Linked DNA regions of Danio rerio. The protein of the gene in region 1 purifies or fractionates together with the protein of each later gene. This does not show direct contact. Links are inferred from orthologs where the notes say so. Each region holds a gene or a part of one and is shown on either strand. Other genes may lie near its edges.

Region 1 (4,585 bases):
CAGACATCAATAAGCCTATAATTAATTTTGTTTGTTAAGCGCAAAGCTTTGTTTCAAAACTATTTCTAAATTCAGTTCTAATTTCCAGCAAACAAATAAACGAACAATAATAACGAAGTGTGCTCAAAAACCTGAGTTATATCCAAATACACATGCTGTGCCCCATATGGTCTAAAACTTGACAGGTGGACATGGTACTTTGAATATTCGGCCTGAAATCACATGTAATTATGACATCAAAAAAATATTAGCACTATTTATTTGACGGTAAACAATGTTGCACAATATTAGTCAATGGCTTCTGATATGATTTCACTATTTAGAATTTGCAAAGAATACTTTTCTGAAAATTATATTAAGGAGAAAGTCTGAATGCGTGAATGTATAAGCAACTTTACCTCAATTTAACACTACCATACATACATACCATACATACATACTGTCATGAACAGTAAACAAAGTCACTGAGGTAAAGTTGGTTTTATATTCGCAGTTTTTTTACGATTGTTTACACTCTAAATAAAAATATCCACACAATTGCAAAATTCTACTCCAAGGAGAAAAACACTGCCACAGATTTGCACAACATTACACACTATGGGCTCTATTTTGACGGTCCATGCGCAAAGCGCAAAACACAGGGTGCAAACGCTTTCAGGGCGTGTCAGAATCCACTTTTGCTAATATAAGGACAGAAAAATCCACTTTGCGCCGTGGCGCAACGTCTAAAAGGGTTGAGTTTATTTTCTTAATGAGTTATAGGTGTGTTTTGAGAATAAACCAATCAGAGTCTCATCTTCCATTCCCTTTAAAAGCCAGCTGCGTCACGCCATGAGCGCATTTTCTATTTTCATAGCGTAAAGTACGTGTAAGTGGAAAAACTGAGCATTTCACTAGCAAGAAAACAGTAAAACAGAGCATCTACAGTGCGAGAATGAGAGATAAGGCATCTCAAACTCTAGTTTCACTTTCGCTCTCGTGGATAGGGAAAACTTGTATGCACAGACATCAATAAGCCTATAATTAATTTTGTTTGTTAAGCACAAAGCTTTGTTTCAAAACTATTTCTAAATTCAGTTCTAATTTCCAGCAAACGAATAAAGGAACAATAATAACCAAGTGTGCTCAAAAACCTGAGTTACATCCAAATACACATGCTGTGCCCCATATGGTCTAAAACTTGACAGGTGCACAAATCTAAGCTTGTTTTTAATAAAACAAATATAAACATGCATATAATAAATACTGCTAATAATAATAACATTATACAAAAGCAAATTGAATGAACTGAAAAAGCCGCCGAGATGAAGAAAGTATGAAGGCAGTGGTTTTTAAATTCACGTAGGCTAGAAAATAATATGGTTTGTAATATTTTAATCCTTTATATATCCTTATTATATCCTACATATATAAATAAAAGTGCATTTTTATTCACAGAATTTCCACAAAGTATGTCAACTCACAAAACTCATGTCTTTCTTTTATCACATCCGTAACGCATTCATTTTGCCGTCATTTTAAATATAAAACACCTGAATAGACTGGGGCGAGGCAGTGGCGCAGTAGGTAGTGCTGTCGCCTCACAGCAAAAAGGTCGCTGAGTCGCTGGTTCGAACCTCGGCTCAGTTGGTGTTTCTGTGTGGAGTTTGCATGTTATCCCTGCCTTTGCGTGGGTTTCCTCCGGGTGCTCCAGTTTCCCCCACAGTCAAAACATATGCAGTACAGGTGAATTGGGTAGGCTAAATTGTCCTTAGTGTATGAGTGTGTGTGTGTGGATGTTTCCTAGAGATGGGTTGCGGCTGGAAGGGCATCCGCTGCGTAAAAATTTGCTGGATAAGTTGGCAGTTCATTCCGCTGTGGTCCCCCCTGGATTAATAAAGGGACTAAGCCGACAAGAAAATGAATGAATATACTGATATTTTTTGATGCCTGAACTCCATGGTTAAGGGGGAAGAAAAATATAAACAGATATTTCAATATTCTGTTAACATATACCTTCTCTGAGTATATACGTTTAATTTTTTTTTACTGCAAATGTCACATCCATAACGCTGGAATCAGCCATATATGTTTTGACTGAAGTGTGTATGTTTTGACTGAAGTGTGTCATTTTGCAAACAATCTAGGAATTCTCCAAATTGAGTGTGCTGTTTGAATAATTGTGATTATACTTTGAAAAAAGAACCCGGTTTTCAAAATTATGTGAGAATAATTGAAAAAAACTGTAAATAGTGTTTATCTAAGTCATACTTTCTTGCATGCTCTCACTAAATATTGAAAGTAAACGTTAGCGTGGTAAACAATATGGAAAACGTGTCGTAAGTTGTCACTGTTTAAAAAAAAATGTGTGTTTAAAAAATACTACTTTATCTCAAAACCGAAGTCATGACTGTCTCACAAAGAAATGTTAATCATAATGTTAATTTATAATTAATTGTCTCAAAAGAACCGCGTTTTTTATTGCCATTAGGCCTTTTTACTTTTACTTTCACATTTTAGGCATTCATCATGTTTCGATGTAAACACTGGCCTGCGTTTAGTCCTCCAGTGAATTAAAGTAACATTCGCAGAAAGTAACGATAACAAAGACTGATGGATATGTTTTGTTTAGCTGACAGCAGTGTGTGGTCGTTATATAAACTAGTACAGTAAATGTTGTGAGTTTGTGTGTGATGTTGTGTGTGTGTGATTTCTGCAACACTCGTTGCACTTACCAGAAAAGGTCTGACGGCGAAAACAAGCTGTTTAATGACTGCAGTCACTCGATGAAAATGATGAATATTAATATGAAAACGACGAGGACGTTTCGGGATGTTTTGATTTTTGAACGCCAGTTGAGTTTCTCCGTGATGTCACGGCAGTACTTCCGGTGTGCAGAGCAAAACAGATGATGACGTCATCAGCAGCTGTCAAATGAAAAGCGCGTGAGGGCTACTTTACATAGATATATAAATGTATATAAATATGTAAATATCTATGGCTACTTCACTGCGACGCTGGTTGAATTAGGTTACAGTAATATATAAATATTGATATCATATATAAGTTTATATATACTAAATTTATAAGTATTCAAAAAACAAACAAAACGAAATGGTGGAAAACAAAAATGTTTAAATGATACATATCAATTAATTTACTGTGGAAAAAAAACTAAATCTGTCCATGCGTCACCAACGTGGTGTAATATGGGAATATACAACATTTAAGGCTAAATTTAAACTAAGTTTAGCTTTATATTTTATACGTTTTAGTTTATACTTTTATTTAGTTTATATATTCATAAACAAAAAAAAAACAACGATATTTTTAGTTGATAAATTTAAACCAAATGTAGTTAAATTTATACATTAAAATTAATTTATAAATGTGACGCAGCCTTAATGGAGTTTAGGCGGGAATTTGTGTAGGGTGAGGGTCTGTAATGGAGAACTGATGGAAATATAGATAACTTCAGTTAAACACATTTAGTTTTGGTATGTAATCCAACTTTATTTTCATAAGGAAAAGCAGCGCTTTTCGTTTTTGTAGCACAATTACTGGCTAATGAATAGGAAGTCGCACGTTCACCTTACTGTGTCGTGAAAAATGTGTTAAATTTGAACATTAAAGTTTTAAGTTCATTGGTTCTGTAATTTTAACTACACACCTCAATCTGTTGACTATTCTTACCATAAACTTTTTTTTTTTATGTCTCATGTAGTTGTACACAGAAAGCTTCATTTTATTTATTTTTATGAATACGAACAACATATATTCCAGTAAAAAAGAGCCCAGACGTGTTTATCATGCACAGTGCTAATATTCCTTGTAGCCAGCAGAGGGCGCCAGTGATCTTTTCCTAATCACATCTCGGGACGAATAAGATGTTTTTCATCATTAATATTACAGAAACTGAACGACAACAGGTATGTTCACTCGTAATAATTTTGCAGATATTATATGATTGCAAAAAAAATGTATATGTGACTGTGGATCACAAAAAAAGTGTACATTTTTGGAAATTGAGATTAATATGTCTGAGTAGCTTTTCATTGATGTATGGATTATTAGGATAAGAAAATATTTGAGATACAAGTATTTGAATATCTGGAATGTGAGAGTTCAAAATGTAGAGAAATTCGCCTTTAAAGTTGTTCAGATTAAGTTCTTAGCAATGCACATTAATTACTATTACAATTTTTTGGATATATATATATATATATATATATATATATATATATATATATATATATATATATATATATATATATATATATGAAAAGGAAATGTACAAAATGTCATCATAAAAGTTGATATGTACCTAATATTTGAATGATTAATTAATTTAAATCGATAATTGTACCTCACAATGTATTTTTGGGGCCTCACGGTGGTGTAGTGGGTAGCATGATCGCCTCACAGCAAGGAGGTTGCTGATTCGAGCCTCAGCTGGCATTTCTGTGTGGAGTTCGCATGTTCTCCCCGTGTTGGCTTGGGTTTCCTCCAGGTGCTCCGGTTTCCCCCACTAGTCCAAAGACATGCGCTATAGGTGAATTGGGTAAGCTAAATTGTCCGTAGTGTATGTGTGTGAATAAGAGTGTAT
Region 2 (3,729 bases), on another chromosome or scaffold:
ACTCTTACATTGTGGTGGACAGTTTGCATACACAAGCTTGAAATGCGTATTGTTTATTTAGATTTATGTGATTACCTTTAAAATTCACCCTTTAAAATCATTCTCATTTTTAGTAATGATGTTTTTTTTTGTCATTATTGTCAGATATAATTAAAACTGGGTAGCAATATTGTTCAAAATAACATCTGTTTTGTCCTAAAAAAAAAGGGAATTATACAGGTTTTGGATCGCATTAGTCACTGCTAACAGAATTGTATCATATTCATATTTAAAATTGTCCAAAGAGTGTGTATTATACTTTTTTTTTTAATTCTACATATTGGGAATCAACAAATTAAAACTGCTGTTCAAAAAACAAACTTTGTGTGTATGCTCCATACATTAACTAACTCATGAAGGTTTAGGACAATGACAACATCGGGGTAAACAAAGGGAGAACTTACATTTTGACTGCCCTTTTAAATAATTAAAAAGTTGGTATAGTTGCAAATGATTGGTTGTCAACATTGTTCTGTTTTACAGATGACATAGAAGTCATAAAGGTTTGTAACAACATAAGATGACCAAGTTGACATTTTTAGGTGACAGTCTCTTTTAAATAGTCCAAAATCAGATCGATTATAGGCTACATGCAGTAGTTCGTACATACTTTTTCTAGTTCATACATAGTTGTCAATTATAACTAAATGTTTTGCTGATTACTATTGATTACTGATTATAACTTTACCATCCAGAAAGAATTAAACAATTCAGGGGTCAACAATAAGGGTGTATTCTTTATTATCGATTAGGGATAAAAGAACAAATAATTTATGCATGTTTTAAAAAATCATCAGGTTACCAACTTAACTGAATGCCTACCCTTTTGTTACAAATATTAATAAACTTATTCTTCTGACATCATTAATCTGCAGCAGAGGGGACACTTTCAAAAGTATGTATATAAACAGGCTCATTATTTATGAAAATCAAATGAGTAGAAACATTTTACACAATAATAAAATCACAGGGATTTGTAACGTGTATGAGTCAAAATAAATGTATGATATGGCATATTGGGATCTTGCTCATAAATATCAAGTAAGAAAATGGCTCCAAACCATCCAGTGCATTTGACATACCATAAAATAAGTACAAATAAAACTACCCAAACTCCTTCAAACGCAGAACCTTTGACAGCTTGAAATTTTACATTTCTCATGTGCATTAATGTTTGTCCATTCAAATCCTGTACATGAGATGAGCCAATATATTCATTAGGGTCAGCTCATACATAGTAACTTGAATAATTAAACTTAAAACCCCAAAATCAATCAATCAATCAATCAATCAATCAATCAATCAATCAATCAATCAATCAATCAATCAATCAACCTTTTCATAAATTGAAATAACAATGGCAGTTCCTTTGCAGCATTTCCTCCTCAGTTTTAATACATGAATTTATCCTTCAACCTTTTTGAAAGGCAGACTCTAGACTTAGTGAATCAAATGCGACAATGCTATTATGTTATACCTGGTCAGTCTACCTTTAAATCACATTAGTAATGTTACCCCGAAAGGCACAATAAATAAACAAATTAGACAGTGAATTGTTCAATGCTGAGGGGGGTAAAAACTAAACCTACATCATTATGTCTCTCTGAAAAGGGGAAAAAAAAACGATCATGGCCATCTTTGCACTTACACTCAAAACACCACAAGATCCCCAAGACAGCTGGTTGCAAAAAGATACCAAACTCGTCAAATGATCTTGCGGTTTTGACATGGTCACCAGCTGGTCTTCTGCCATCAATGTGTCGACCACATTGCAGTGAAGGCGAGAGTGAAGTCAACAGGCCATCAGGATGAGTCTTATCGCCATGCCCTATTGAGCAGTTTCACTTCCGCTAGACGTTTGCTGATCATGGTGGCAAAGAAGAGACCGAGGAGGACACTGCTGATTAAGACATAGTCATAGTCATCCTTAAGGACATCAAATTGTTTGGAAGGGAACACTCTAGTCTGGTAGATGTCAAGGCCGTATGCAACCACCTAGAAGGTGAAATTGAAGTTATTTAGTGTGACTACATGTGATAACAACTGCATGGATGTTAAGAGATCAATTGAAGTCCGTGACTCCTACCAAACAGGTTGACTCCAGGCCAGATGGGGCAGTATAGATGCCTCTTACTCTTGATACGGTTTGGTTGTAGTTAATGAACCATTCTGTACGAATGGGCATTTCTGGAGCATATGGTATAAGATTTTCCTCCCTAAAATGGTCAGAGAATCAATTTGTAAATAATTAAACTAAATATATGCTTGACATTTTTCAGATTTCCAACATGATAAACATTAGCTGAAAACTTACCGACTCTGTTCTGAGACCACCTCTGGTCTCCTGGGGTCCAAAAACATCTTTGGTAAGGATAAAATGTTGCCTGATGGCAGCCCCACTATAAAGCAAAAAATATCTTTGTTTTAATTTAGATGCTATTTATTATCATAAGTTATAAAAATACATCCCAAGAAACTTACTACAATGTTATGAGATTAAAGAGCCCCTATAATGAGTTTTTAAAAATGACCTTCCATGCAGTGTGTAAAGTGAAGTGTGTGTTAAGTGAAGTGAAATATCCAGCTAAGGCTTAAACCTGAAAGTACACCGTGTTTAAAACTATTGATTCCTCTATAAAAGAGTCAACTCAGAGTGGTTCAAATAAATCGCGAGGGTAACGAATCTTTAGCTGTGTCGGCATGACGTCGATATGGAACTCAAGCCCCGCCCATTTGTTGCATGCAGACCTGGAAAACTGAAACCCTCGGCCCTGCACACAAACACTGTAGAAAGAACTGGGACCTTGTAAAAGCTTGACAGGAACTTTACAGTACACAGTTCATGGATGAATTCCTTTCTCTATTTCACAAGTGTAAGGCCAAACCCCAATTCTGTTTTTGTACCCCTACCCCTTCCCCTTAGTCCTTGCAACCGAGGGTTAAGGGGAAGGGCTTTAAAATTTACCCCTAAGAATTGGGACAGCACTACATCACCTGCACACGTCATCATATGTCCTCGCAATCTCTTGCTTCATATGAGTTCAGATGATGGCGACTACTGTAGTGATTCCCGTTGTGTTTTTTTTTTTTTTTGGTATTTATCTTCAGGAAATCACTGAAGCCATGTATTATGTTATCATAATGATCTAATGTGGCAATAAGATCGTAACAGTACTGTGCATTTACACCGTGGCCATATTCATTAATGTAAACACATCAAAAACAACATTAACATTATAGCAGACACTGTAAAAAGTACATTCCCAGTCACTGGACTTTTCTGACAGGGTATTCCAGTGTCATTGAGTGTCATTGAGTGTCATTGAGTGTCATTGAGTGTCAGACTGTTGTGGGACTGCTGTGCAGAAGTTATTATTAGGGATTATAGATCGCAAAATTTAACGTTTTTTATTTAAGCGTTTTAAAAAAAAAAAAAAAAAAGCATGACTGTAAAACACGAACGCAGTTATGAATATATTAAAACATGTGTTTGTTTGTTGTAAAAATTCATAATAATAACAAAAAAAGATCTCCTTATTTCCGGGTGCAGTTGGAGCTAGTGTATTCTGGAAATTTTTTCCTACCTCTTGGTTTCGAGTGTGGTCCTGAAAAATCTTCGTTTAAAGGAGTGTATACCCCTTGCCCTTAGCCCTACGCCTTCGAGCTAAAGAGAATTGGGACACCACTACC

What was found.
Region 2: the proteins of klhl22 (region 1) and emc1 purify together in Homo sapiens (co-immunoprecipitation; 3 studies listed by BioGRID and IntAct, with this or other methods). This does not show direct contact. The link is inferred for Danio rerio from reciprocal best matches to the Homo sapiens genes KLHL22 and EMC1.

Annotation. Positions count from the first base shown.
Region 1 is NC_133183.1:61,542,923-61,547,507, reverse strand, and holds the start of klhl22 (kelch-like protein 22), read right to left. Parts: upstream 2,847-4,585; 5' UTR 2,715-2,846; intron 1-2,714. UniProt on the Homo sapiens protein: Substrate-specific adapter of a BCR (BTB-CUL3-RBX1) E3 ubiquitin ligase complex required for chromosome alignment and localization of PLK1 at kinetochores.
Region 2 is NC_133198.1:24,184,834-24,188,562, reverse strand, and holds the end of emc1 (ER membrane protein complex subunit 1), read right to left. Parts: intron 2,439-3,729; coding exon 2,354-2,438; intron 2,256-2,353; coding exon 2,126-2,255; intron 2,035-2,125; coding exon 1,855-2,034; 3' UTR 757-1,854; downstream 1-756. UniProt on the Homo sapiens protein: Part of the endoplasmic reticulum membrane protein complex (EMC) that enables the energy-independent insertion into endoplasmic reticulum membranes of newly synthesized membrane proteins.